Linked DNA regions of Lytechinus pictus. The protein of the gene in region 4 purifies or fractionates together with the protein of the main gene of each other region. This does not show direct contact. Links are inferred from orthologs where the notes say so. Each region holds a gene or a part of one and is shown on either strand. Other genes may lie near its edges. The genes, in order: peroxiredoxin-1-like; Parkinson disease protein 7 homolog; superoxide dismutase [Cu-Zn]-like; peroxiredoxin-5, mitochondrial-like.

Evidence for each region.
Region 1: the proteins of peroxiredoxin-5, mitochondrial-like (region 4) and peroxiredoxin-1-like fractionate together in Homo sapiens (co-fractionation; 3 studies listed by BioGRID). This does not show direct contact. The link is inferred for Lytechinus pictus from reciprocal best matches to the Homo sapiens genes PRDX5 and PRDX1.
Region 2: the proteins of peroxiredoxin-5, mitochondrial-like (region 4) and Parkinson disease protein 7 homolog fractionate together in Homo sapiens (co-fractionation; 3 studies listed by BioGRID). This does not show direct contact. The link is inferred for Lytechinus pictus from reciprocal best matches to the Homo sapiens genes PRDX5 and PARK7.
Region 3: the proteins of peroxiredoxin-5, mitochondrial-like (region 4) and superoxide dismutase [Cu-Zn]-like fractionate together in Homo sapiens (co-fractionation; 3 studies listed by BioGRID and IntAct, with this or other methods). This does not show direct contact. The link is inferred for Lytechinus pictus from reciprocal best matches to the Homo sapiens genes PRDX5 and SOD1.

The regions. Positions count from the first base shown.
Region 1 is NC_087255.1:28,701,251-28,708,335, reverse strand, and holds the start of peroxiredoxin-1-like, read left to right. Parts: upstream 1-4,063; 5' UTR 4,064-4,274; intron 4,275-6,631; 5' UTR 6,632-6,657; coding exon 6,658-6,766; intron 6,767-7,085. UniProt on the Homo sapiens protein: Thiol-specific peroxidase that catalyzes the reduction of hydrogen peroxide and organic hydroperoxides to water and alcohols, respectively.
Region 2 is NC_087258.1:19,054,195-19,061,782, forward strand, and holds the start of Parkinson disease protein 7 homolog, read left to right. Parts: upstream 1-4,574; 5' UTR 4,575-4,832; coding exon 4,833-4,913; intron 4,914-7,588. UniProt on the Homo sapiens protein: Multifunctional protein with controversial molecular function which plays an important role in cell protection against oxidative stress and cell death acting as oxidative stress sensor and redox-sensitive chaperone and protease.
Region 3 is NC_087248.1:24,272,920-24,279,991, forward strand, and holds the start of superoxide dismutase [Cu-Zn]-like, read left to right. Parts: upstream 1-4,049; 5' UTR 4,050-4,492; coding exon 4,493-4,567; intron 4,568-7,072. UniProt on the Homo sapiens protein: Destroys radicals which are normally produced within the cells and which are toxic to biological systems.
Region 4 is NC_087251.1:47,420,261-47,428,243, forward strand, and holds the start of peroxiredoxin-5, mitochondrial-like, read left to right. Parts: upstream 1-4,967; 5' UTR 4,968-5,148; coding exon 5,149-5,229; intron 5,230-6,298; coding exon 6,299-6,433; intron 6,434-7,832; coding exon 7,833-7,964; intron 7,965-7,983. UniProt on the Homo sapiens protein: Thiol-specific peroxidase that catalyzes the reduction of hydrogen peroxide and organic hydroperoxides to water and alcohols, respectively.

The DNA.
Region 1 (7,085 bases), on a different chromosome or scaffold from region 4:
CATAATTTATTAAATCCATCCCAATATGGTTTTCGCAAATTTCATTCTGCTGATCTAGCTCTTGTTGATCTTTATGATAAAATTTCTTCTCTTTTAGCAAAAAAGGAACATGTAATTTGTGTTTTCATGGACTTAAGTAAAGCGTTCGATACCCTGGATCATACTATATTGCTTTACAAATTAAAATATTTTGGTGTTAGAAGTACTACTCTTAATTGGTTTAATAGTTATATTTCAAATAGGCAACAATTTACATGTATAAATTCAGTAAGTTCTAATTCACAGTATATTAATTGTGGTGTGCCTCAAGGCTCAATTCTGGGCCCGCTTTTATTTCTTCTGTATATAAATGACATAGTATATTCTTCACCCTTATTACAATATATTCTGTATGCTGATGACACAACAGTTATTTCTTCAAACTCGAATAAAAGAATGCTTTTTGAAATGTTGAATAATGAATTGCCCAAAATATCCACATGGTTCCAAAGTAATAAATTGTCTTTAAATTTGCAAAAAAACATATTATATTGATTTCAAGAACTCCAAAACAATAGCTAATCATTATACAGAAGAAATAAAGATAAGTGGGATTTCTATCGGACAAAAAAATAATGTGAGATTTTTAGGTGTCATTCTAGATGAGTTTTTAACATGTGATGACCATGTATCTAAAATATTGACGTCTGTATCAAGATGTATAGGTATAATGTTTAAAGTTAAACACTATTTACCTCCTCAAGCATTACTCTCAATTTATAATTCTATTTTACTTCCACATATCACTTATTGCAATATTGTATGGGGCTCATTCAAATAAAAAAATCACCATATCCTTTTACTTCAAAAGAAAGCTATTCGTTTGTGTGCCGACGCTGGTTTTTATGAAAATACTGGTCCCCTCTTTAACCGTTTCAAGACTTTAAAATTGATGATATACATAAATTTCAAATTGCTTTGTTTATGTTTAAGTTTCACTGTCGCCAATTACCATTAACATTTGATCATATGTTCCTTTTGAATTCGTTTATTCATAAATATCCTACGAGAACCTCAACAAATTTACATTTATAAAATCCGCTAACTGCCTTAGCCCATAGGTCAATAAGACATACTGGTCCAGATACCTGGAATGATATAGCTTTAACAATACGTGGTGCTCCTACATTGAACAAATTTAAGTTTGAGTTTAAGCATTCCATTATTAGCACTTATTTGAGTTAAGATATTGTTCTATCATCAGTTTCATGACTTTCATCTTATTGCATACTTTATTTTTTGTATTATTTTATACGACGTATCTATGTTAAACATAGTAATATTAATCGATACACGGCTGGTGTGTTATTATCATTTGATTTATTCTTGACATGCTTGATGTGTTTTCCTTTTGGCCCTGCTTTTACTGTAATTTTTAAATATGACTTATATTGATTTTATTCAGGGCCGTAGTCTTTCTTGAGGGGCGTCCTTTTCAAGCCTTGTGCTTATGACTGTTCCCTCCCATGCAATGATTGTTTATTGTTATTTTACCATGAGATATTGTCAATATATTTTCTGTTGTATGATTTATTTTTGCATGGAAATAAAGAATCAATCAATCAATCAATCAATATTCTTTTGAGAAACTAAATTGTCATGATACTACCCTCACTATCATGTGAACATAAAATTGGGTATAAAAGAAATCTACCTGTCTTCAATTTTTTCTATATATTCTTTTAAAAATTATCATTGTGGACCTAACCCCTTTTGCAAGTAAACTGAAATGAATCCAATCTATTTTGATTAAAAAGGTGATTTTTCTTTGCCACTTTTATTCATGTTTTCATGTAAATTTCAAATTGTCTTTGTTTTCATCAAAGCGACTAAAAATTTAGAGGTTTGAGACAGAAAACAATAGCATTTATGAACAATGGACCTACCCCCTTTTGACAAATGAGCTCTTCAGAAGAGTTTGTTTGCAAAAGGGGCTAGGTCCACTCCAAGAAAATATTTTTTTTTAATTCTCCTATATTGCATATTCTTATGCGAAACTAAATTTTAAAGATTCCCTACCATGACAACATAAAATTGGGTATAAAAGAAATCTACCTTTATTCATATTTTTTAATATATTCTTTTCCAAAAAAAAAATCGGTGTTGACCTAACCCCTTTTGCAACTAAACTAAAATGGACCTAACCCCTTTTGAAAAAAAAGTGATTTTTCTTTGCCATTTTTGATCACTTTCAAATAGGAATTTCAACTTTTCTTTGGTATCATCTTATAGAGCTACTAAAAATCTATACATTGAGACCAAAAAATCAGATTTGATGAAAAATTGACCTAACCCCTTTTGCAAGTGAGCTCTTCATAATTTATACATTTTCCGTGATGTGATAATTTCACACCACTTGAAAGATGTTTTTGGACATCATATTTTGTCTCCAACTATTAGGCCTACTCGATGGCACGCATATTGATATTAATTGTAAATCATTACATATGCCATTAAAAAAAAATCGTTCTTGATCTGTCGATGGTAGTATTATGTTCATGGTCCCATACCCCCGTATACATGCCTACATAGCCCTTGGTGTTGGGGTGTCCCAAAATTTTTGAATTTTCAGATCAATATATTGCTTCACCCCCCCCCCATGCACAGCTCGGACTGGATTTACGCCAGTCATTCTTTTTATTTTTCAGTATGTCTTGAGGTTTGTCAAATATAAATCAGTCTATCATCCACTTTCAAAGAACAAACAGTCAGTCAATCAATCAATCTATCAATCAATAACGAACACTCAATCAACCTGTCTATCAATCTATCACTAAACCAAAAGCCCTAAATCATAATTATGTTTGGTTTTACGGCTTCAGTATACAGCACCGTTCGCGTCCGAAACAAATCCGAGTATACCGTCCGGGGAGTCCGGGGGATTGACCCTACATGAAGCCCATCAAGTTATCCTGCCCTGCTTGCTACCAAGTCACTGTGATCATCATGAATTACTTTGAAACAACTTTCATTTTCTTTGAAAATGACCGGTAGAGAAAAGGAGAAGTCAGACAAGCAGGTAAGAGAAAGTTGTGAACACTCGGGCTAAACGATCAAGGGGACATTATAGCCAGGGGTAGGTCTATAAACCCTGGAAAGGTGGTCTCCCATGCAGATGACTGACATTTAATAAATATTGTGTCAAGCCATTAAAAAAAAACAAATGAGCAAAGCAACCGTGCTCACCAAAAGGGATTTTTTGCATTTTTATTGCTGAAATTTTAAATATTTGGTGAAATATTTTTTAATTTATTAAGCGCTTCCCTATTTTTTAAATGTACTTCTTGAGTTATTAATTAATTAATCAATTATTTATTTATTTATTCATTTATTTATTTATTTATTTATTTATTCATTTATTTATGTATTTATTTATTCATTCATTTTATTTAACTATTTTTTTTCCGATATTTATTCATTCAATTTTATTTCTTCGTCTCATTCTTCTTCTCTTCTCCTGCTCTTTTTCCTTTTCCTTTTTCTTCTTCTTCTTCTTCTTCTCTATGTGTTTCTGCTACTAATTCTTCTTCTTTTTCATTATCTTCATCTTCTATAATTATGCTTCGTCTTTATCAAGCAGTCAATCAACCGAATTGAAAATAATTTTTAAGGGATTCGTTAAAACGTATTTGAGGTTTCTAATCTTTCGCTATTGTTATTTGTGGCTTCACAAATAAAATACATCAGTCTATTTATATTAATTAATTTTCATTCATTTCATACTATAGTCGTATGTTTATTATAAGAAAAATCTGCTTTCCAAATGCGCTCTATGTACTTCTACAAAAAACATCAACAATGAATCAATCAATCAATCGAACCCATTGAATAAACTTTCGTATATTTATTTTTTGAAATAATTGTTTAATAGAAATAACTTAAATTCTGTTCAAGGTTTCTTTCTTGATATTCATTTGTCATTATTGTATTTTGTCAATCAATCAACTTTTATTGAACAATGAATGAGAGAAGTCTAGCGCCATCTACTGGTATACTGCAATTTTGTGGACGTGCTCGCTCTGGCATAATAATGTGCATGCATTGCTGGGCCAAGCGCTCGGCATCCCGCTCCAGCGCCCGCGTAGCTTTCCATATCACCCAACGCGCCGTTCGCCCAGGCCAGCTAGCTGCCCGCCGCGTATATATTTAGCACGAGTATTCACTTCGACTTCATTCGAGCACTGCGGCAGAGCCGAAGAGAGTAGAAACAGTCTTAAATTTCTTCTTTTGAAACCGTGAGTATTCTACTTTCTTATGTTTAAACGGTTGGTAAAATTCAATCTTCTAGAAGAAAAAAATGAGGAATGGATGGTGACTTGGGCTTTTGATTAAAAAACGCGAAATTTGTGAGAGGGTGAACGAAAAGTTGACTGTCATTTCAATTTTTGCTTGCATAAGATGTGTGTTGCACGTGGGTGAATGCCGGGTTGTCGTGTTTCAAGTGCAATCGGGCATTATTTTTCTTTGTTGGTTCCAATTCATGTTCTTTTGTGTGATGCATAGGAGATTTCATGGGGTTCCTATGCATTTTAATCATTGTGAATGTGATTTTTTTCCAGGGGTAGTATTCTGAGATCATATTATCTTCTAAAAAATATTTTATATTTTAAAAAGAAATTGATTGATGATTCAGTGAATTGGTAATTTTAGTGACATTTTTCTCAAATTTGAATTTTATGATTTTTTTCCTTGCATATCTGATATGCGACCTTTTTAATTAGAGCAGTGTCTGTGTAGGAATTGTGTATCTTACCATTACAATGCGGATGATATGCTTTGGCCCAGGCCCATGTTGTTACATTGAAACTGAAACTTGAAAGAAAGATAAAGTAACCCGTGGAGGTTATTATCTCCGCGATGCTCTTGGTGAATTAGCTCCAAATGTTAAAATGAAATGATAATGAAGAAAAATAACATTATCATTGAGTCTGAGAATAATACCTTAACATTATTCCTGAAGAATAAGTAAATATTTCTTCATGTGACTTTTCTGAAATGATGCTGTAATGACGTGATATTGACAAAGAAAAAAACACTGAATATTGTAATTTCTAAAAATTTGTAAAAAAGAAATCTCTAAAAATGTGCAAGCGTATAGTGCAAGTGCATTTTTAATTCAATAAATACAATACATTGATGCAATTTTGCTCCTTTGCCACACCTAGCGGAATGGATTTTTATTGGTTGAATGAGCTGAGAGAGCTACATGTATGATGTATAAAACAGTATTTTTCAATCTCATTGGATGTTGCTTCAAAAATAGACCGTGTGTCTTACAGACGTAAAATAAAGATGAAATGGTTGTCAGACCAATTCAGAGATATTCTAAGGGTACATGTATTTTATCTCAGTGATTTTAAAGGAGATGAAATATTTTATTTTATCTGAGATAAAATTGATCTCTGAATACCACCACAGACCAGTACCCCAGACTCTCACTTAACTCGCTAGACCGTTAAGACAAGCAGACAAAGGCAATTGGCATCTGTGACGCGTGGTCCAAACCTGTGGTCTGTGGAAAGAAAACTCTTTTTTTGTTGTTTTTTTTACAAGTAGTTTTTTATTTTGCTTATTATTTTTTTTTTTTGGAGAGTTGGGGGGGGGGGGGGGATCACATGTACTGTTTGTGCTTGTCCATTGCCATTGCTGTTGAGTAATGCATTTTCAGATCTTGCCCCTTCCCAAATGCCAAATACATAGCCATAGGCCCGATACCATAGCCATCAGTGTTTCCACTCTTCCCGAAATTTTGGGAAATTTTTACTTTTTCCAGGAAAGGTTTGGAAAATGAAAAAATTCCAGGAAATTCTGGGAAATCTGAAAATTACAATTAAACAACAATTAAATGTAGCAACTTTTAAAATTCATGTTATATTTAAAGAATTGTTTACCTCAATACTTAGCTCAAAAGTTTTCGTGCGGAGCATCCATTGTAATTTTGGTCCTATTTTTAAAGAGGGCGTGAACAAAAATGTGCTATATTCCTTGATTTGGGTCACATGGACCAACTTTAGGCTGGCTGTATTATTGCCCAATTTTTTTTAGAAATCATACTTAAAAATTCCAGGAAATGTCTATGAATTTTGGGAAATTTATTTTGGATCTGTGGAAACACTGGCCATCATGTACAAATTGTCCATTATTCTTACTGAATTTCACCTTAAAAAAAAAAAACTTGGTGTACTTTGTCGCAGCTTTATAAATGATAGACTTAGATTTTCAAAGTGGGCAAGGTGGCAGGGTAGTTTTCCCTGCTTTAGTTTTTGTCCACAGCATCTCACGACATCGCCAAAAATCTGCCACAATCATATCAAGCAATATTCAAGAATATTTAGAAAGTCAATATTCTACAATTTACATACATGTATGGGAGGATGATAATATTGGCAGATTATTATTTCTTGTTGCAAATAAATAAATAGCCCTTCAAATGAAAAAATTCCCCCCCCCAAAAAAAAAAAAATTAGCAATATCCCCAAAATGACAAAAATAGCCCCTTAAACGAAATTTTACCCCGATGTCTTGACTTTGTTGTGTTTCATTGGCTTTACACAGTGACTATCTCAATCTTTTTTTTCAATCTCATTCACAGGAAAGAAGCTGTAATATAAATCAAAGATGGCAGGTAAGGCACGTGTACAAGAACCAGCTCCTTACTTTGAGGGTACAGCAGTCAGCGCAGGCCCGGATAGTGACTTTGTCCAAATCAAATTATCAGATTACAAAGGTAATTAACAACTAATTCCAGTTCTTGAGTCAGAGCCTTTTTTTGCGCAATATCAATTCATGTTTTGAAGTTACTGCAATGTTATTTGGGTATTCGATTTGCCAAAGTTAATCGAGTTGTGCCCTTTTCATTTTGCACAAAAAAGCAGGGCAGCTCTGATGGTGAATTAAATGACATCAAATTGTCAGATTATTACAGAGGTAACTACAACCAATTCTAGTTGTTACCTTACCTAAAATTAAAAAAAGACAGCCCTCAAAACTCTGCCATCTCCCCAATGTGGGAAAACCAGAACCAAGATGGAGCCATAGGGCAAGGC
Region 2 (7,588 bases), on a different chromosome or scaffold from region 4:
AGCCATTATCAAGATGGCACATCAACCCAAACGTCAGTTAACCAGTCATACCGGAACTCGATCCAGAGGCATTATATAAAATTATCAGCCATAAGTTATAATCGTTCGTAGTTACTGAGATGACATATGATTTTTACACTTTTATCTTGTCAACTCTTGTCTTTATTCCTAAGAAATGTAGAATTAATCCAAATACTTTGAAAATGAAGGAACTGTTTAATTTAAAATGTAAAGATGTTTAAACAGTGGCGTACCGTGGGTCACGGCATTGGGGGGGCACCAGCAAAAATTATGAGTCACTTATAGAACGCGCGAAGCGCGCTCAGTTGCTAGGTATACTGACATAATAGGGACATTTAAAGGACAGTGTCATTAAACGGATATGTATCTCACTGATCACATAATGCGAGCGCGAAGCGCGAGCTGAAATTTTTGTATATATCGACCCCAAACGGACATTTTAAGGACTATATTTTAGGAATGCATTAAGAGTATACATATCTCACCATAATCATCTAATGCGAGTACAAAGCGCTTGCTGATATTGTTAGAATAATATACATCTAAACACATGAAGCACTTGTAGTCATTGTAATCATGATTAACATACGCATCTCACTAATCAAATATTGCGAGCGCGAAGCGCGAGCTGAAAATTTAGGAAAGTCAGACCTGAAGAGGGATATTTCAAGGCTTGTTTGTAGGAATTCACGTAGATCATACGTAGTTCACTAACCAAATGATGCGAGCGCGAAGCGCGAGCTGAAATTTTTGTATATATTGACCCAAAAGAGGGATAAGGACTATTTATTTTTTTAAAGGATTCCATTAAGAGTACAGATATCTCACCATAGTCATCTGATGCGAGTGCCAAGCGAATGCTGATTTTGTTAGAATTACATCTAAACACATGAATCACTTTTTGTAGTCATTGTTATCATGATTATCATACGCATCGCAGAAATCAAATATTGCGAGCGCGAAGCGCGAGCTGAAAATTTAGGAAATTCAGACCTGAAGAGGGGCATTCTAAGGCCTGCTTTTAGGAACTCACGAAGACCATGCGTATTTCACTAACCAAATGATGCGAGCGCGAAGCGCAAGCTGAAATTTTTTACATTCAGATCAGAAAAAGGGACATTTTAAGGACTGATTTTAGAAAATTCATGAAGAACAGACATATCTCACCAATCCACGAATGCGAACGTAAGTACGGACAGGAAATGGTTTATATTAAGACCTTAAAATCGGGCAATCACTTTAAGTAGTCATGAAAAAAAAGTATATGTCACTACATAAAACAATAATAATTCGAAGTCTAAGAAAATATATTTGGTGTATATTGACTTGAAAACGGGAGGTTTTAGTACAAGAAGATTATATATATTGTTAAACAGACAATGCGAGCACCAGGAACAATGAAGACTAGGCCCTGTGCAAATTATGTTTCATAAAGTTATAATTTATTTATGTAATATAACATAAGATAATCATAATATAATATAACATTATAATTAACAATAATTTCTTCTTTCCCATTACGTTTCTTTCCCTTTCTCCCTCTTTTTCTCCTTTTCCCCGTTTTTTTTTTTTTTTTTTTTTTTGGCCAGCCGATTGGGGGGGCACGTGCCCCCCATGCCCCCCCGTAGTTACGCCACTGTGTTTAAACTTGCTAGGTTAAAGTGATGTCATAAAAGTTTAGTAGGTAAATTTACAAGTGTAAAGTGTAAGATATGTTCTTACCTCATTATTTCATATTTATTTTTATTCTAATTGTTCTTATATTCTTGTACTTAGACGGTACCTCATTTCATGTGTTGGCTTTAAACTGCCAATTTGTGATTGTTGTAAGTTATATTTCTCCGATATAGCTCGGAAGGGATTGAAAGAAATAAAATTAATTCATTTCATATCATATTATCACAAATTTTAATAGGCTTATCATGTGTCAGTCTTGTTAACGGGTTCCATTCAATTCGTAAGTAAGGAAGGGTATACAAGCCATTAGCACCTTAGAGGTTATTTTTTTATACCGCATGTATTTATGAAATAAATACCTTATATCACAGCTCATTAGATGAATTCCTCATCACACCTTATATGGTATGGGTTCCTTATACCAAACACTGACAGGTGAATTCCTTGTAATGCATCTTATATGATGGATTACTTATAACAAACCCTGTAAGATGAATTCCCTATATCACATCTTATAAGATGAATTCCTATACCACAACTTATAAGATTGGTTACTTGTACCAAACCCTATGAAATTAACTCTTCATACCACACCTTATAAAATGGGTTCCTTATACCAAACACAGATGAATTCCTTATACACTCCTTATAAGATGGGTTCCTTGTACCAAACCCTGTAAGATGAGTTCCTTATACTGCACCTTATATTTTCCTCATATCACATCGTATAAGATATGTTCCTGTACATTACACTTTATGCATTGGATCCATTCAATCAAAGTATACTTTATATGCATATTTTTATTTGTATTAATTATGGAAACAAAAAGAGAAGACTGTGGAATAATAATGCAAGGACAGCATGGATATATACACTCACATTCAAATTCAAATTCAGTTTTATTTCCAACAGAACAACGTTTGATACAAATTATGATTTGATGTTGGATAAATTGTATGATACTGTTTTTCATGATATCTTGATTTGTTATAATGTTATAATTTGTTAATTGGATGTGTATTTAATTTTGTATTGTGAAACATTTTTCAATTCAGCTGTCAAACAGCTGCGCTCATGTTTTAATAAATCTTGAATTGAATCAAATTGAATTTACGTGTCAATATATTTATACTTTAGTGAGATACTGAAACTGATTTCTTTGCTATATGATTAAATCTTCTCAAATCTCTATCATTATGTTCGTATCTTATCTCAATCCGGATCTTGTTGTTAAAAATCAAGTCTACCCCCAAAAAATATCGATTTTAATCATTAAAGAAAAATCAGACTAGCATAACGCTGAAAACTTTTATCAAAATTGGGGTGTAAAATAGAAAAGTTGTGACATTTAAAAGTTTCGCTTATTTTCACAAAACAGTGATATACCCAATTATGGGACATGGAAATAAGACAGTCCATAATGTCCCTCACTCACTATTTCTTTTGCTTTTTATTGTTTGAATTAAGGACCAACTTGACTGAACCATATAGTATTAAACAATGCCAATTCCACATGTTCAGGGAAGAATGAATTGTAGTGGCTTGGCAATGAGGAGAAAATTTGAATATTTCATATAATAAATACAAAAGAAACAGTGAGCGGATGACGTTATCAGTCATCCCATTTGCATACCGACCAGGATCTGTGCATATGACTGTTTTGTGAAATTAAGAGAAACTTTAAAATGTCATAACTTTCTTATTTTAAAGGGGGAGTGAACTGTGTTGGTCTCTCATTGACAGTGTGTTATAAATGCATAGTCTTAAAATATACGTTTTCAAATATCTACAGAGAGTAAATTGATCTATAATTGTATTTGTAGTAGAGAGACTAAAATGTTATGAGAGGAAAAGTAATTGGTTTGCTACTTGGTAACACTCATTGCGGTATAAATGTATATTGAGTAGTTAATTAGCATGTTATCATTCAAGTGGGTCTATATTACTAGACTACACTAGCATTATGGGTCAGGAAACTGGCCAGGTATGAGTAGTTGAGGACTCGAGATTGCGCTATTGGTTCGTATCTGCTTTAAATCCTATTTTGATGAAATTTTAAATGTTATGCTTGTTGAATTTTTCTCTTTCTATTTTTGTTGGGGTGCACTAGTGTATCATTAATATATCACGTTTCTAAAAACAGATTTTAAAAAAGGGTGGTGGTCACAATATAAAGCGATCATGGAAACCGATACAATTTTTTACTGAGATTAGTAAGACAAATACCAAGTGGCATAAAACCAAGAATAAATAGATACATATTACAGAAAAGTGAGGTTTGGGATATGAAGAGGGCCGTTGCAAGATTGATTTCTTGATTTAAAATGAAAGTCAGTCTGGATGTGTTATGTAATTTAATCATTCATACACGTCTGTTAAAAAATTCTCAAAATTATGCACATATTGATAGAAAAGAGGTATTCTTATACAGATTTTGCAATGAAAATAAATGGGTTCAACATAACTAGTAAAAATTGATATCAAGCATTATTGTAAACAAACGATAAACAATCTTCACAACCTAGCTTATGCTGGAGAGTTGATATATATGATATAATCTCAATCCGATTTCCATATGAAATGTACGAAATCATTGATGTATTATAAAAGTTAAAGGAAAATTCTGTATATGGAACTTTGATGAAATTGAAATTTGATGCTGGAAGAAAGGACACATCTCACCGAGAGATATACATTAAACAAAACATAATAATAGCAGGGCCCGCTGGTAGAACAGTTTTCGAAACTGAAGTGGCTTCCCTGGGTAAATATACCTATATTATTATTATTATTATTATATTACGATATTCGTTCCGCTGTCAATATTTCTCACTTGTCCCCTTGTTTTCTCCATCCTCAGCACCCGGCGTTCCATAGAACTATCATAATATCTCGAAAAGATTTTGCATTCATATTGATTAAGAAGAAAAAAAACAGCAAAAAAAGTAATCTTTAGATATTTTGATTCTTCATAAGTTTGCACTAATTGCCTGGATAGTTCAATGAACATATACGGTAAATAAAACCAGATGGCACGTGGCGTTCCATATCACTTTCACACATTTTCTCGAAATCACTTCAAAGTTCACTCCGAAAATCGATCCGAAATCGATATCGTAACTTGGCTTTCATAATGTCTGTGATGCTGATTTTGGCTCCCGGAGCGGAGGAGATGGAAACTGTCATTCCAGTTGATGTTCTGAGACGTGCTGAGGTAAAGAGATGGTTGAAATGCCGTCAACATGAGAATAATATTTTTCACCCATCTGGCCGGGGGTAGCTGAGGAGCTACTGCGGGCCTCTGCCCAGCCCCAGAAGCTCCGCCGGCGAAGGTGGGGGAACTCAAGGGTGTGGATCCGATGAATACTTGCGAGGGAAATAAGTTATTATTATTGATTTGAGTCAGTAATGGAGAATAATATGACTGTTTTTGCCACTGCTTTAATTTGGAGCCTTCTTTGACTTTGAGAGGATGAAAAGCTTCTTTACTTTCATCTAAGCTTGTAACCGATTTTGCAATCGGCAACCGATTCCATTCGATTTCACCACAATCGGCAATCACTTGCCGATCTTCGATCATGCCCCTTGAAGGAAAAAATCGAAAATAAAAAATCGGCGTAGATCTGGTTACAGTGCGTGATTGTTTTTGAGGTGCTAGCTATTTAGAGGTCGCATTATTCAGGGAGAAAGACGCGGTATTATCTATGGCGATGTTTAAGATGATAGATATCTTCTCTTCCGCTTCTCTTCCAACTCATGGTGATAGCGGATGCCGCCGTGAACTTTGAAAGGTCGTATTACCGATGGAGCTCACTGCGTTACTCTCTTACATCGTTTATGATTATATACATTTTATTTTCAACCTCGTGGTGATAGCGGATGCCGCCGTGAACTTCGAAAGGTCGTATTACCGACGGAGCTCACTGCGCTACTCTCTTACCCCCTTTATAATGATATAAATCTTCTCTTCAACCTCGTGGTGATAGCGGACCCCGCCATAAACTTTTAAAGACTGTACTATTGACGGAGCTTATTGCGTTACTCTCTTACATCATTTATGATGATATACATTTTATTTTCAACCTCGTGGTGATAGCGGACCCCGCCGTGAACTTTTAAAGATCGTGCTACTGACGGAGCTCATTGCGTTACTCTCTTACATCGTTTATAATGATATAAATCTTCTCTTCAACCTCGTGGTGATAGCGGACCCCGCCATAAACTTTTAAAGACTGTACTATTGACGGAGCTTATTGCGTTGCTCTCTTACATCGTTTATGATGATATTAATTTTATTTTCAACCTCGTGGTGATAGCGGAAGCCGCCGTGAACTTTGAAAGGTCGTATTACCGACGGAGCTCACTGCGCTACTCTCTAACCCCGTTTATAATGATATAAATCTTCTCTTCAACCTCGTGGTGATAGCGGACCCCGCCATAAACTTTTAAAGACTGTACTATTGACGGAGCTTATTGCGTTACTCTCTTACATCGTTTATGATGATATACATTTTATTTTCAACCTCGTGGTGATAGCGGATGCCGCCGTGAACTTTGAAAGGTCGTACTATTGACGGAGCTCATTGCGTTACTCTCTTACATCGTTTATGATGATTTACATTTTATTTTCAACCTCGTGGTGATAGCGGACCCCGCCGTGAACTTTTAAAGATCGTGCTACTGACGGAGCTTATTGCGTTACTCTCTTACATCGTTTATGATGATATACATTTTATTTTCAACCTCGTGGTGATAGCGGATGCCGCCGTGAACTTTGAAAGGTCGTATTACCGACGGAGCTCACTGCGTTACTCTCTTACATCGTTTATGATGATATACATTTTATTTTCAACCTCGTGGTGATAGCGGACCCCGCCGTGAACTTTTAAAGATCGTGCTACTGACGGAGCTTATTGCGTTACTCTCTTACATCGTTTATGATGATATACATTTTATTTTCAACCTCGTGGTGATAGCGGACCCCGCCGTGAACTTTTAAAGATCGTGCTACTGACGGAGCTTATTGCGTTACTCTCTTACATCGTTTATGATGATATACATTTTATTTTCAACCTCGTGGTGATAGCGGATGCCGCCGTGAACTTTGAAAGGTCGTATTACCGACGGAGCTCACTGCGTTACTCTCTTACATCGTTTATGATGATATACATTTTATTTTCAACCTCGTGGTGATAGCGGACCCCGCCGTGAACTTTTAAAGATCGTGCTACTGACGGAGCTTATTGCGTTACTCTCTTACATCGTTTATGATGATATACATTTTATTTTCAACCTCGTGGTGATAGCGGATGCCGCCGTGAACTTTGAAAGGTCGTATTACCGACGGAGCTCACTGCGTTACTCTCTTACATCGTTTATGATGATATACATTTTATTTTCAACCTCGTGGTGATAGCGGATGCCGCCGTGAACTTTGAAAGGTCGTACTATTGACGGAGCTCATTGCGTTACTCTCTTACATCGTTTATGATGATTTACATTTTATTTTCAACCTCGTGGTGATTGCGGACCCCGCCGTGAACTTTTAAAGATCGTGCTACTGACGGAGCTTATTGCGTTACTCTCTTACATCGTTTATGATGATATACATTTTATTTTCAACCTCGTGGTGATAGCGGATGCCGCCGTGAACTTTGAAAGGTCGTATTACCGACGGAGCTCACTGCGTTACTCTCTTACATCGTTTATGATGATATACATTTTATTTTCAACCTCGTGGTGATAGCGGATGCCGCCGTGAACTTTGAAAGGTCGTATTACCGACGGAGCTCACTGCGCTACTCTCTTACCCCCTTTATAATGATATAAATCTTATCTTCAACCTCGTGGTGATAGCGGACCCCGCCGTGAACTTCAAATTGATTTGAA
Region 3 (7,072 bases), on a different chromosome or scaffold from region 4:
ATTTCACAGAACAGTTATATGCACATCCTGGCTGGTATGCAAATGAGGAGACTATGAGGTCATCCACTCACTATTTCTTTTGTATTTTATTATGTGAAATATGAAATATTCAAATTTTCTCATTGTCAAGTGATAAAACAATTAATTCCTCCCTGAACATGTGGAATTAGCATGTGGTTCAGTCAAGTTGGTCCTTATTGTCAAATATCTAAAAAATGAAATATTGTATAATTCAAACAAAAAACAAAACAAATAGTGAGTGATGGACATCATCGACTGAGTGACCTACTTATGCTTATCACTGTTTTGTGAGAAATAGTGAAACTTTAAAATGTCATAACTTTCTTATTTTACATCCGATTTTGATGAAATTTTCAGCACTATGCTAGTTTGATTTTCTCTATGCAAGAAAGCATTTTCCTGGGGTGGACTTGACCTTTAACATTTGGTCATATTGCCATTTAACCCATTTACTAGTTTGCCTAATTTCTAGTTAGGTCCTACCCAAATATTGATTTGGTTCAAAACCTCTTAGTCTATGGCCCGTATTCTGAAGTCAGGTTTAATTTAGACCATGGTCTAACTCTGCTAAAATTATGGGAAGCCAAACGTGTCAAAATTCTTATTAAGTTGTATGTTTCTTATGTTCACTGTACAATCATCTATGTATACTTTCTAGACAATTATGAATGATTTGAGAGCCAAATGAACTGAAATATGATATCTCTAATGTTAGTGATTTATGTAAAAATTGGCTATCCATACTTCAACCAAATGAGTGCCTATAAATACCCTTAGGAAGCAAGATTAAATTTAGATAAATCAAATACAGTAACCCTGCATGAGAAAAATTTCATAATATATGAATAATTTTCTGGCTGTTGGTGCAAGATGAAAGGCATGGAATTTTCGTAACATTGTTACATAAAGGAAATATTGGACCAATTTCATTAAGAGTTGCGACTATGATGGTAACTTTGCCATTATCATGGAAACTACCATGGTTGTGATTGGCTGCTGAGCCCTGTTACCATGGTAGTTGCCAAAATGACAAAGTTCTTTGGAGTTGTAACTTGTGAAATTGGACCCAGATGTACGCCACACACAAGATTGGGATGGTATACAGTGGAAAGTAACGGTGGGAATAAATGAACGTATATGTAGAACTAAAATACAATTGTGCAGTAGAGGAAGGGGGAAGGGAGAGCGACTGAAAGAAAGGGGAGAAGAGGGGGAATATTGGAGGAGGGGAAGGGAAAAGGTGAGGGAGGGAGGGAGAGAGAGGATGATACAGAGGGGGGGGGGGGTGAGGGAGAGAGAGGATGAGACAGAGGGGGGGGGGGTGAGGGAGAGAGAGGATGAGACAGAGGGGGGGGGTGAGGGAGAGAGAGGATGAGACAGAGGGGGGGGGGTGAGGGAGAGAGAGGATGAGACAGAGGGGGGGTGGATATAGCGACAGGGCAGCCTGAGAGATATAGGGGAGAGGCAATTAAGGTGAATGAGTGAGGGGATTAAGATGGGGGGGGGTACTGGAAGAGCGCCTGTTCTGAGGGAGAAAGGTTGGGGGGGCTAGAGATCTCAAGAAAATTGTAGGGAAAAAAAGAGGCATCTTCTTGTTGCTAACATGGGGTATAGAAATGTTGCATTATATACTTTTCAAAGCCAAGTTTTACACATCTCATTTGAAGCAGATTGGTGTCCTCATCAATATAACACCAATGTAATGAAAATGGGACTGCATTTCCGAACGGAGGATGACTCTTCATTTTTAGGCCACGCCTCGATTTTAAAAAAAATATATATTTTTTTTTTTTTTGTCCCGTGCATTATATCATAAAATGCACTATATAGCTGTCATATATAAGCCTGGCCGGGGCCTATACTCACCCAATTTTCTATATGGTAGGCCTACATGTCTTTGATCGAGCACGCAACGTTATTCTGCTAATGAGATATGCAAAACTTGATTCTGAAATCCCTCTATATCGGGCTCTATATAGAAGCCTATACCTTCAATTGCAAAATACTTAAGCATATACATCTACCCCCGGACTCTGAAGTTGCAGGAATCATTCTCGGGCCGAGCTCGCCGAGAGCTCATTGGAGGTACTTACACAGATTACTTTACTGACCATAGCCAAATGGGCAGCAAATTATGCCTACGTGCATGTCATTCTGGTAAATTTCTCAATTAAAGGGATGGTCCGGGCTGAAAGTATTTATAGCTTAAAGGGGAATCCAACCCAAATAAAAACTTGTTTTTATAAGGAAAAGAAATATCAGACAAGTTGATAGGTGAAAGTTTGAACAATATTGGACAAACAACAAGAAAGTTATGAATTTTTAAAAGTTGTAAATATTGGTAATCACTATACCCACGGAGACTTCAAATTGGCCGCATATGGGATGTCATAGTGATGTAAGGCAAGGACTACTCTTCCATGTACTCCAATACATATTATGGCTAAAATGTCATTTTTCCCAAAAGTTTTATTTCAAATTATATTTTTCTTTCATGAGGACATAAAACAATATACTACCTGGGTTATATTTAGATTACTGCCACAGGGGAATGGGTACTTAGGAGAAAACCACAAATCCTTGATAATAAAGTACATGGCCTATGGGAAAGTTGTCCTTGCCCCTTGTCATAATTTACTTACCCAGTTGCCAATTTGAAATCTACATAGTACTAGTGATCTCAATTTTAAAGCAGCTATAACATTCTTATTGCTTGTCCGATTTCTTTTAGACTTTCTCCATTCTGTTTAATTTATTTTTCTCCTTCCCAACACAACATTTTATGGCCAAGGCTGGATTCCCCTTTAATAAATAGAGTAGAATTCACTGAGCTAAATGCCGAAAATTTCATCAATTTCGGATAACAAATAAAGTTATTGAATTTTAAATTTTAGCAATATTTTGTGAAAACAGTCGTCATGAATATTCATTAGGGTACCGGTAGGAAGTAATTCCTTAAAAAGCTGTGTGCGCTATGAACGCCTAGCTTAGCCGGGTAATATAGGAGCGCCTTGAGCACCTAACAAGGTGGATATGTGCGCAATTTAAATACCCTATATTATTATGTGGGCTGATGATGTCACATCCCCACTTGTTCTTTTGTATTTATTATATGAAATTAGGTTTATTCAAATTTTTACCTCGAAGAACTAGAAAAATTGGATTTACAACTGATTTAGTGCATAAGATATTTATTGCTGCATCTTATTTCATTATAAGGGAGACATATTATTCACACAAGTATGAAATAATGAAAAAATTATGATTGTATGTGATAACATAGAAAACGGAAAGGGGAGATGTGACATCATCAGTCCCCCACATTCATGACGACTGTTTTCACAAAATATTGCTAAACTTTAAACTTCAATAACTTTATCATTTGTTATACCGAGGTTGTTTTACCTGACTGCTAAGAAAGCATGAATGCCTTTGAGCAAGCAACCAGGGGACCAACGGCTTAAGGTCCTCTCCGAGGGACCTGGTAATGAGGATAAATGCCTTACCAAAGGGCACTAGCGCACCACTTGGGAATCGAACCCTGGTCACCGGACCGAAACCCCGCTCTACCGACTGAGCTATCGCGCCTCCCCTTTATCCGATTTTGATGAAATTTTCGGCATTTTGCTCAGTGAATTCTACTCATTTTCAGCCCGGACGATCCCTTTCCCAACTCCTAATAAAGCAAGCAATTACCAAGCAAACCCAACATAAACTCTTTAATTTACGAATCTCATTTCTTTTCCCTCATCATCTCCCCCTCCCCCTTTTTTGGCTTGTCCTGGAAATTTTGGGGCCCTAATCGATCCCAATTACTAGGCCTACTCGACTTGATATTGACTTCCCACTCCCCCCCCCCCCCCCCGTGGTCGCTGTTGGAATTTTGGGGCCCACCTCCCCCCCCCCCCCCGTTTTTACGCCAGTATTCTAATAATTGAATCCAATTAAAGAATTAGAAAATGAAAACAAAAATAAATGTGAAGTCTCAATGTTACCCTCACCCCCCCCCCCCCCCCCTCTAATTCGGTAGCCGCGCTGCTGCGTATACGTCGCAATAGTCAGCAGCAGGCTCGTTGGTGTATGCCCAATTTTCGCCAATAAATTCTATAGGCACATTCACTGTACTTTTCACAATACGTGTTCTTTTGATACCAGGATCGCAGTCCATATTTAAAAAAGAAGAATTTTTCAAACCCGCTTCAACAGCTAGAGGTTACTATAAATGTTTTGCACACGCCACGCAAAAATAAAGCACAACGAGGTAAAGCCCGGAGCTAGGCCAGTGCTGGCCGGCCTAGCGTAGCTCCTGAGATTCCTACCCAGCTCGGCCCCGGTACACGTGTTTGTACGGCCGTAAACAACTAGTCAAGTGCATCTAGTACCGTGTGCAAAGACCAGACAAAAACTGACTGAGCCTGCTGGACAATCTCGCCAAGTTCTTCGTTTTAAACCGTAAATTAAAAGAAGAATCATGTCTGTACTTGCAGTTTGCACTCTTGCCGGACCTGGAGAAGTAAAGGGGGTCATCAACTTTGAGGCTAAAGAGGTATCTATCGGTCTGTAGTCTCTTAATTTTTGAGGAAAAGAAAACTGATGTCTTGATGATGACTGAGTCAATGACTGGCATGAAAATGACTGGCATTTTGTAATCATGCATGCATTCCATGGCCATGCCCATGGCAGCCACTCAACTTGTGATAGATAGGCCTCACGTTAAATGAAAAATAAATAATCCAAACTGTGCAAATAATGTTGAATGTCGACTCCCATGATGACTTATGACTGTGACTATGATGAGTATGATTATGATATGACTTTATGAGGCATGAAGAAGGCCAGGCATCACCTGGTTGGGGGAGGGGGGGGGGGCATTCATGATTTACTATGATAGTTGATGCAAGTTCTGAGCTTTTCTGTCTGAGAAATGGTGGTAAAACACGTGGTCATTCCTTAAAGCTAGAGAAAAGATATTCACGTCTTGACGTGCGTAAATTTTTTCTTTGCTAACCGAGTGATAGATGTGTGGAACAGTCTCCCAGAAGATGTAGGTACCGGTTCTGCTTGTTCAGTGATTGCATTTAAGAATAGACTGGATACCGATAGGCATTGGGAGAAGATTGCCTATGATTTTGAGTGATTTTCGATTCTCGTGTGTTCTCATGGAATTGTTTTGCTGTCTACGATACCCCTGCCACCCCTCCCTGCCAACATAAGTAGCACACCTAATTTTGTCTGAAGGAGAGCCGCAATAGACTTTCTACTTTGATCGATGAACAGGCTTAGTCCTACAAGTACAACATCGTTGGAGTAAACTAAACGAACAAATTGTATTTTGATTGATTGGGTGTGATGTGTGTCACATTAACCCTAGCTGCAGCTGACTTTCAAAGTCTTCAGTTTTCAGCATTTCATTTCAAGCCCATTTTCACTGAACTATTCCGGGGGGCACTCGAACACAAAAGTGGTAGGTAGACTGCATGTAGACCCACTCATTCAATGTCAATGAACAAGGTTATGATATAACCTAAAGTTATAGACTCTATATGAAATATTGTGTAATTCAAACAATAAAAATCAAAAGAAATAGTGAGTGAGGGACATCATTTACTCTCTTATTTACATGTCACTGAGTTGCGCATATAATAACTTTTGTGAAAAGTAAGCAAAACTTTAATATGTCGTCCATGTAGGTCTTATTTTACATCAAATTTTGATGAAATTTTCATTGGTGTACTTGTTTGAATTTTCTCTATTTATTCAAATCAACAGTTTTCTGGGTTGGACTTATTAAAGTAGATCTAGCATCTATCGGGCTACAGTATCTGCAATGCACCATGCAATCAATGACTTGTGCTGGATCTGGGTATCAGAACGCAAAGGCATGTGATACATATTTGAAACAACATTTCCCAAGGGTCATTAATTAATGCTTTAAAGGAAATGCAAGCGTCAAGCAAATGCCAGCAGGCAGTGAGCAATTGCTTGAGCTTACTAGTAAAAACCTTTTGCTTGCAAGCAATTGCTCATTTTTTATGCATACACAAGTAAAAACCAAGCAAAAGCAATTGCTAGTTTTTATGCATCCAAGCCATTATGATTCTAAAAGAAAAAATTTAAGGAAAATCAGCTTTGACTGAATTTGACTAAACCTTAACCTGTTTATGCACAGGCACCATTAAAGTCAGTTGTAGTAGAATCTAAAAAGGGAAAAATTGAGTTTGAACAAATCCAACAGATAAATAAACAATTGAATGATTATCTTAGATTCACTACAGTGATTATCTCTATTCAACTTGTACCTTGGTTTCAAAGGATAATATAAAGCCTTGTTAATTGTTCAGTTATGTGAATTATACTTCAGTAAATATGCCAGTCTCACCGAAGTGTACATGTACAGTATATATAGCCACTGAATCCTTTTTCAAACGCCGATTCTCTGAAAATTTCAATTATTCAAATCTTAGATACCTTCATTTTATTAGATATTAGGGATTTTTGTGTTCCTCTTCAAAAAGGGTACTTGGAAACACTCGTCTTAAACCTTAGTACTTCGATATCAGAAAGCCACATAAAAAAGATAATGTTCTGAAAATTTCAGCCAATTCCATGCTTTGGATTTGGAATATATTTTGTATTAACCAAAAAAAAAAGGAAAAAAAGCATTTGATCAGGCACCCGATCATGATAAATTTGTATACAGTGTACATGTAAATGAGCAAAATTTAGCTTGGAAAACACATTGTCATTTCATATTATCCTCCACTTCGTAATACATGTAGTTTTAGGGCATACACATATCCATGTAGTAGTAATGACTTCGAATAGTAATACATGTGGATACATTTGGGGGAATTTTACCAACTTTAATAGGTAAAGGCAGACTTTGATGTTGGGGGGAAAAATATGCAGGTACCAGGCATGTATACTACCTTTTTTATCCCCCACCAGTACTGTACCAGTAGTTATGTGTGTACTTCCTTTATCTTTTTATCTATTAAAAAGGAGGGGGAGGGGACCATCAGTAGTACCGGTACCTGCCGATTCCAATTGT
Region 4 (7,983 bases):
AAAAAAGTGGGGATAATCAGCTCTAAAAAGTATAGGTCTTTCCTTGATCTTATACTAGTGTTTAAACAGGCCCTTACTTTCATACACACTTTGAATTTCAAGGATTAAATTAAATCCAGGTCGGCTGTGAAGCAGCCCGGCGAAAATTTGATTCATTTAATATTTATGATTAACTTTTAAATCTAAAAAGATTTTTTTTAATCTAAAAAGATTTAAATTAAAATCTTTAATCGTTAAATTCAAATCAACGAATGTTTGGCTGGTCACTATCCGCAACCGATCTGGCCGGGTTGATTTTCAATCAGCCCAGACTTTGCATAATAAATTTTGAAATCAAATAAATTTTGAAATAAGGCAAAACAGCGCTAGATAACGATCATAACTAATTTATGCAAATTACCACATTGATTAAACTCTTATTTTATCTTAAATACTGGCAATTATATAGCCTTTATTATACAAGCCTATATAAGATCCAAACTTATGAGTGATGACCTTATTTTCAGTTTTTCTTCTTCTTCGTTTTCTTTTTTTTCTTCTTTGTCAAATTTTTCGGTAATGAACTGTACAGTTCGGATGTCCATCATTTTGGACTGATCAATGACCCTTATTATGGTTAGAGAATAAAGTGGGTCTTAAATTTTGCCCGTGATGATATAACAACATGTCATACCCCAGATAATTATAGATGGATACACAGTGGCTTAAATCCGGTCCTAGCAAAGGGGGGGGGGGGGGGAGATTGCAATAAAAGTATAGAACTAACAATTCAAAATTTGGGACACATTCACGGTTGCACCCCCAAATAAAGGGCTATATACGGGGGTATACAAATCATCTATCACTATTTTTTTTTACTTATTTATTTTTTTAAGGCTATTGTTTATCGTCAACTACAGAATTCCAGTAATGTCAGGCTGACTCATGAAAAAGGTGTGTATGTCACTGAAATAATGAAAGCTCTGGCAATATCTGGTCCGGTATATCTGGTTGACTTGCAAAGTGAATATTTTAAGAGCGATTTAATCCTTATGCTGGATAGGGATTATGTATCGCATTAACTCAATACGTGCGCCGGGAAGAGGCAAATTATGTTTTATCGAATTCTAAAAAAAAAAATTAAAAGTATTTTTTTCCACTTTGATTCTCCCTCTTTCTTTTTCTTCCCCTTTTTTATTATAAGGGTGGGGGGGGGGGCAACAGCCGCCTGAGTGGCCGGCACGTCCCCCCCAAAAAAAAAAAAGTTACCTCCCTGCTTTTCATAATTAATTTGGTATAGCCATTGGCAATGCTGAAAAATTGACCCATTATGCGTTTCAAAGTTTGGGTTAACTGATGATCTGATGAAAAAAAGGATGATCGTCAAGAGAGTGCGACTCACTATAAACAAGAAACGGGAGACATATCACAACATGGGCTTATTAGAATAATAAATAAGATAAGATATTAATTTGATAATCAATTTTTTTTGTCCCTTTTTCAGAATGGAATATCGACAAGTTTCATCTCGCGCCTAGGAAGAGAAATTTGTAGATAGTTATCATTATCATTTGATGATATAATGTTCTTAGGATGTCCCGGTCCTATGTAAGAACTCAAAGTAATAATAATGAAACATGCAGTGAATCAGCTCCTTTTTTAACTGTGATCCATATCCACCTCACAATTTTCCTACAAAGTGCTTGAAATACAGAGCTTAAATCGGGCCCTTTTCAGATCGGAATATCAAATATTTTAAGAAGCGCGAGCTTCGCGCTCGCTTTTGTGATTTGCATGATAAAAAAGATATTTATCATGCCCAGATTCTATAGGTGACAATGACAATGACAATTTTTTCTCATGTCACCCTTAAAAGGGCATTGAAGAAAGTCAGATAACAACAAAGAAATAATTTCTCAGTATCAAATACAACATATTTACATTATTTACAATATTTACATTCGAGTATACCATGCAGTCAATATATAGGCCCACAGGCAACAATTTAAGAAAAGAGATTACGTGTTTAGTGTAAAAACAAACGTATAAAAAAAGATAAAATGTGAGTAAACATAAAAAGATGAAGTAACCATTATCATGGACCTGATATTTGGAATACATTGCCAGATTCACTTAAGCTGACAAGATCATTTTATTCCTTTAAACGAACTATAAAAGAAATGCAATTAAACCAATACCTAACAAATTAAAGAAAGAAAATCATTACCATTGTTATCATTATTTCAATTAGACATTGACTTTTATCTAGAACATGTATAAATTAAAATCAAACAACAAACGTGTTATTTTCTAAAATTCCATGCTAAGGACCAAGCATCTCCCTCCCCCCCCCCCCCCCAGTCCCTCATGCACCTGCACGTTTAATGACAATATATATTAATTATTTGGCTATATTCCAGGGTTGTTACGTTTTCAAGCTTTGCTTTTTTGACGACCCTTGCAACCATTCTATTTATTGTGGAACAGAAAATACCACTTATTGATTTTCATTTATGTAAGATATGTTTGAGGATTTATGTACAAAACTATTGTTCATTATCTTGATGTCAAGTTTCAGATATGTATTTTCTTGTCCAGAATTTTGTTATGAAAAATGTTGCAAAAACCAATAAATGAAATGAAATGAAATTATGAAATATTTACAAGATCATGCATTATTCATTTTATGACTAAAACTTAGTGAAGCTTTAATATTACTGATGCGAATTTTGCTAAATTGGTGATCTGTTTCATGTTTCCTGAATTAAATAATTAATTCATTTTTAGTGTATTGGGACGTATTCTAAAAATACGGCTTGATATATTTGTGCCTCAAGTTATTCAATTTCGGACATTCAAACAAATAATGAAATTCATCTCCAAGTTTATTAAGAGTGCACAGATTGCTGTTCGATTTTGCCATTCTATTCCCGAATATCTACCCGTAACAATTGGCAAACGGTGATTTGCACATCTGAATTTTGTGAGTGCTATCCTGTAGGGAGAGGGAATTAAGTAAGCTTCAAGGCCAACCTGATTTTTGAAAATTCTATAGTTAATACATTGTGAGCTAACGTTCACAACGCTTTGCCAATTTTGCACATACGTATCTCTAAGTTTCAATTTTAATGTGGATTTCAACCAAGCATTACTAAACGATTTATTATTTGTCCAAATATTTGACATTCCAAGTTCATTTAAAGTAGACTGAAAGAATTTTACCCAAGAAGAGGAATATATGCCAAGATCATGAAGTATTTTCAAAATTTTACCAGAAATAGTTGAATATTTAACTTTTTCTCACTTATATAGTTCTCGACCAAAAATTAACCATTCTTTCTTTAGCAATAATCGATATTTCAAATCTGCCCAGTTCACCGAGAGCCATACAGTTCAGTGAACCTTTTCTTAGTCTTAAAATTTGTTTGGAATATTGCATATGCATAATTTCAATATGCTTCAAATTTTCGAAGCCCCAGATTTCACACCCGTATTAAAATAGGTACAACTGATTTGTAAAAAAAGATCTAATTGAATATCTAAAGGCAATCTTAATTTTCTTTATTTCATAATTAAACTGTACATGGCCCTTTTAGCTTGAGTAATTTGGGTTTTTTTGAGCTTTTTTAAAACTATTAACTCCTGAAGACACATTTCTAGTACAGTAAGTGTATTGATTTCCTTGCTATACAGAATTTTGTTTGTAATTTAAAAGTTTAAAGTGTTCATAAAATGAAGCAATGTCAACCGAAGAAGTATCTTTACTATTAACTTATTATCAAAGGACAAGTCCACCCCAATAAAAAGTTGATTTGAATAAAAAGAGAAAAAAAAAACAAGCATTACACTGAAAATTTCAGCGAAATCGGATGTAAAATAAGAAAGTTATGACATTTCGAAGTTTCGCTTCATTTAATTCACAAAACAGTTCTATGCACAATATCCTGGTTGGTATGCAGATGAGAAGTCTGATGACGTCATCCACTCACTATTTCTTTTGTATTTTATTGTATGAAATATGAAATAATCTAATTTTCTCCTCATTGTCAAGTGAAACAACGATTAATTCCTCCCTGAACGCGTGGAATTATAGCATTGCTATACGATATGGTTCAGTCAAGTTGGTCCTCGATCACTGTCAAATCTGTGAAAAAAGAAATATTGTATAATTCAAACAATAAAGAACAAAATAAATAGTGAGAGAGGGACATCATCGTCTGGCTCATTTGCATGTCACTGAGTTGTGCATATGACTGTTTTGTGAAAAATAAGCGAAACTTTAAAATGTACATATATAACTTTCTTATTTTACATCCGATTTTGATGAAATTTTCAGCGTTATGCTTGTTTGATTTTTCTCTATTCATTCAAATCAACGTTTTTCAGGGGTGGACTTGTCCTTTAATAATAAGTTAATAGCAAAGATACTTCTCTGGTTGATATTGCTTCATTTTATGAACACTTAAACTCTTAGGATCCCAAAGATTGCTCAGAATGTTAAATTTTAGGACAAAATACAGTCATGAAATAAAAATAAGCTCGTGCTTCGCTCTCGCACTATATATAAATAAGGCTTATGAGATTATTATATATTTATGTTTATTTATAAGAAAAAAGCTTAGACATGACTATTAGGACCACCCCTTCAAAGAAACATACAAAAATCAACCCTTGGATTTGCGTTCAGTTCATCATCAAAGTGGGAAAGTGCTAGTGGGCGGTGCCCTGAAAATAGGGAATTCCCCGAGATTACATAACAGCTGATACGCGCCCACTAAATAATTTGATGAACCCTTTAATACAGCAATTCATAATCACTTAATTAAAAACAGAACATTTTCAATTGTTTGAATATTGAAGAAAAGATGTAAATATCATCAAAATTATGAATTCAATCAAGCAGCACATGTCAATATGAAAATGTGGGTGCAAAATGGTCCGGGGAAATGGTATTATTCCCCTGAAGTCTGTAGCCTGCCTGGGCCTGAGAATTATGGAGGCATCCATATAGGCGAGGAGGTTCACATGGCAAGCCCTTGCCTGCACGTACGCCGTTATCCGGAGCTCAGCTCGACATTCGGCCGCGCCGCGAAGAGCGGGGCTGGCCGCTAGGCTATCGAACTGTATGCATGCCGCGCAGGGCATAACGGCATAAGGTATTGCGCGAGAATGTTTAGCCTCCGAAGAGCCGTCCTTTTCAATTGCTTACGGAGTTTTTCATCTGGTTCACCAAGAAAGATGCCAATCAAGGTAAATACTAACTAGATTATTAAAGAAAGGTGTGCTACACCATACGAACAGATATCAGAACATATTCGTACTCATTTATCATATTATTATCATGATTTTAGTCGGGATTATTTTAGTCACCCGTCATGCCCGTCGGCCGTCGACGGCGAAGCTCAATTCCAAGTCAAGACCCTACTCCCTAGAATTTAGACTCGAGTGTTAGACCTGGGGAGCGTTTCTGCCGTTTCATCAACATTTTTGTCCGACAAATTGTCAGATCTGACATCTTTTTTTGAATCTGATTTGCTTCTTCTTCATCGTCTTCTTCATCCTACACTGACTGCCTCCTTCAATCCTGAAGATTCTTGCAGTATTGTAGTACCGGGGGCCGGCAGGTGCAATACACCGGGTGAACACCCTACTCTTTGACTTAGAAGGACTGTTATTATGGTAACTGTCGGAGGGTTCGATTCCCACTTCCCAAGTGGTGCGCTAGTGCCCCTTGCCCTTGGTAAGGCATTTATCCTCATTACCAGGTCCCTCGGAGAGGACTTTAAGCCGTTGGTCCCCTGGTTGCTTGCTCATAGGCCTCCGTGCTTTCCTAGCAGTCAGGTAAAAAACCTCGGTATAAACCGTCCGACAACGGCGACAAGTCCTTTCATGAAATGCTCCCCTGGCCAAAAGGCAATAATCAATTGAACATTGGGTGCTCTTGGTGGGGTAAACTGTCCATAATTTTCCCTTGATAAAGAAAAGAAATATCTGAAAATGTCCATGCTTTGTTGCTTACAACGTAGTTCAGTGTAAAATTTCAATGTGGGAAGATTATTAAGAATAAGACCGAGTCTGAGAGTGAGAGATAAAGCCGAGTCAAGTTGACGATTACCGTACTATTTCAATTTAGATCTCCATGTAAATTGTCTTGGTTTGTCTTAATTTCACATGTTTTTTGGTTAGACCTATATATCTCTCTTGTGTTTCTCTTCCTTATTCTTTATTTATACTGTGCAAGTTATCCGGAAACATATCATGAACATACTATTAACTGTTATATGTTGCTTGAATAATATTTATTCATCATTTTTATTAGGTTGGTGATGCTGTGCCTAGTGTAGAAGTGTGTGAGAACACACCAGGTGATAAAGTGAATGTAGAAGAACTTTTCAAGGGAAAGACTGGAGTGTTGTTTGCCGTTCCGGGAGCGTTCACTCCAGGATGTTCAAAGGTGAGAAAAAGGGTTGCTGAACCAATGTCCGTTGGGGTCCTATTACATGAAGCTTAGTGATTGTATGGCTTGTCTGTGCAAGTCTGTGCAGTCCCCCTTGTCTGCGCACATGCGTATCTGCACGATTCTAGTAAAAGAAGATCACAACGAACACAAAATTTACACATGCACCACATAGACGATATTCATTAAAAAATCCGACTCAAAATGTTGGAAAAATAATGAATTTGGGGCATTTCGTGTGACGGCCTCAAAATGCTGCCTTTCTCATCAAAACGCCTGAATCGTGGGCAAAGTGAATGGGTGCGCAGACATGGGGTACCATTTTTTTTTCAATCTGAAAATGACTGCCCAAGGTTTTTTCTAAGAAAATCCTATATTTCTTTCAAATTTTAATGAGATATTTGTTACACTTACTCATGGTAATATAGGGAACATTATTAACGGAAAGAATTTGTGAAATAAAAAGAAGTTCATGTTAAATCGTTAGGTGCACAGACTTGGGGACCACCATTATAGGTAGGCCTAAGGCTGATATCAATGCAATCTCTCATAGAAATCGGTCAGTTTTAGGTTAGGGTTTAGAAATTTGCCAATTTCTATAACTCTACTCACTGACTCTAGATACTCGCTAATGATATACAAAGAATGGTTTTCTCTCAAAGAAAGTAATGTGGAATTTGTAAATTACCATGAAATTTGAACTGGGGGGGGGGTGAGTCTTGGATAATGCTCAGTATCTTTGTAGAACCATTTCACAAGCATAAAAATGGGCGGAGGGGAGGAGACGTAGCATAATAATAGCAGCATAATATCTTTCTGTGAATTATAAGAGTTTACTCTGTACTAGAAGTATATATCCTGGCTTTACACTCGCTATTGTGAGAGAAGAGTTCACATTGAAAAGAAATTACATGTGTATTTACGTTGAATAAATAAAAGAAAAAAGCCATATTTAAAGAAGATATGAGTTTTCAATTCTGTGGTTAATTTCAAATCATACAGTTTATGCCTTTGGCTATCACATTCACAGTTCACTTCTTATAAAAATAATCCTTTGATGAGTGGATGTATGAAACTAATAAAATTGTACCATGATTTTTCAAAAGATTAAGATATACTGGTAGGGTGGTGGTTTTTTTTTCATCTCAACGCACTGCCACAAATTGTTGAAACTGTATATGCCTGCCTGTGTCTTTTAATGCTTCCTAGTGCCATTATTATAAAATCAATATTGCATCAGTGACACTATGGTACCCTTTAAATATATGAAAAATACTAGTATATAAATAATAGTAAATAAATAGGTGTTTTTATGAAAACTGAACACTATGATACTGCATCAGCTATGGGACTAATTCTGAGCAATGTCATATTCTACTTGTAATTTTTTTCACAGACTCATCTGCCAGGCTACGTTGGTGACTTTGATAAACTCAAAGCTAAAGGTGCAGAAGTCATCGCCTGTGTGTCCGTCAATGACCCCTTTGTAATGGCTGCATGGGGGGAAGCACATAAAGCTGAAGGCAAGGTAATTCTATCAAGTGTTG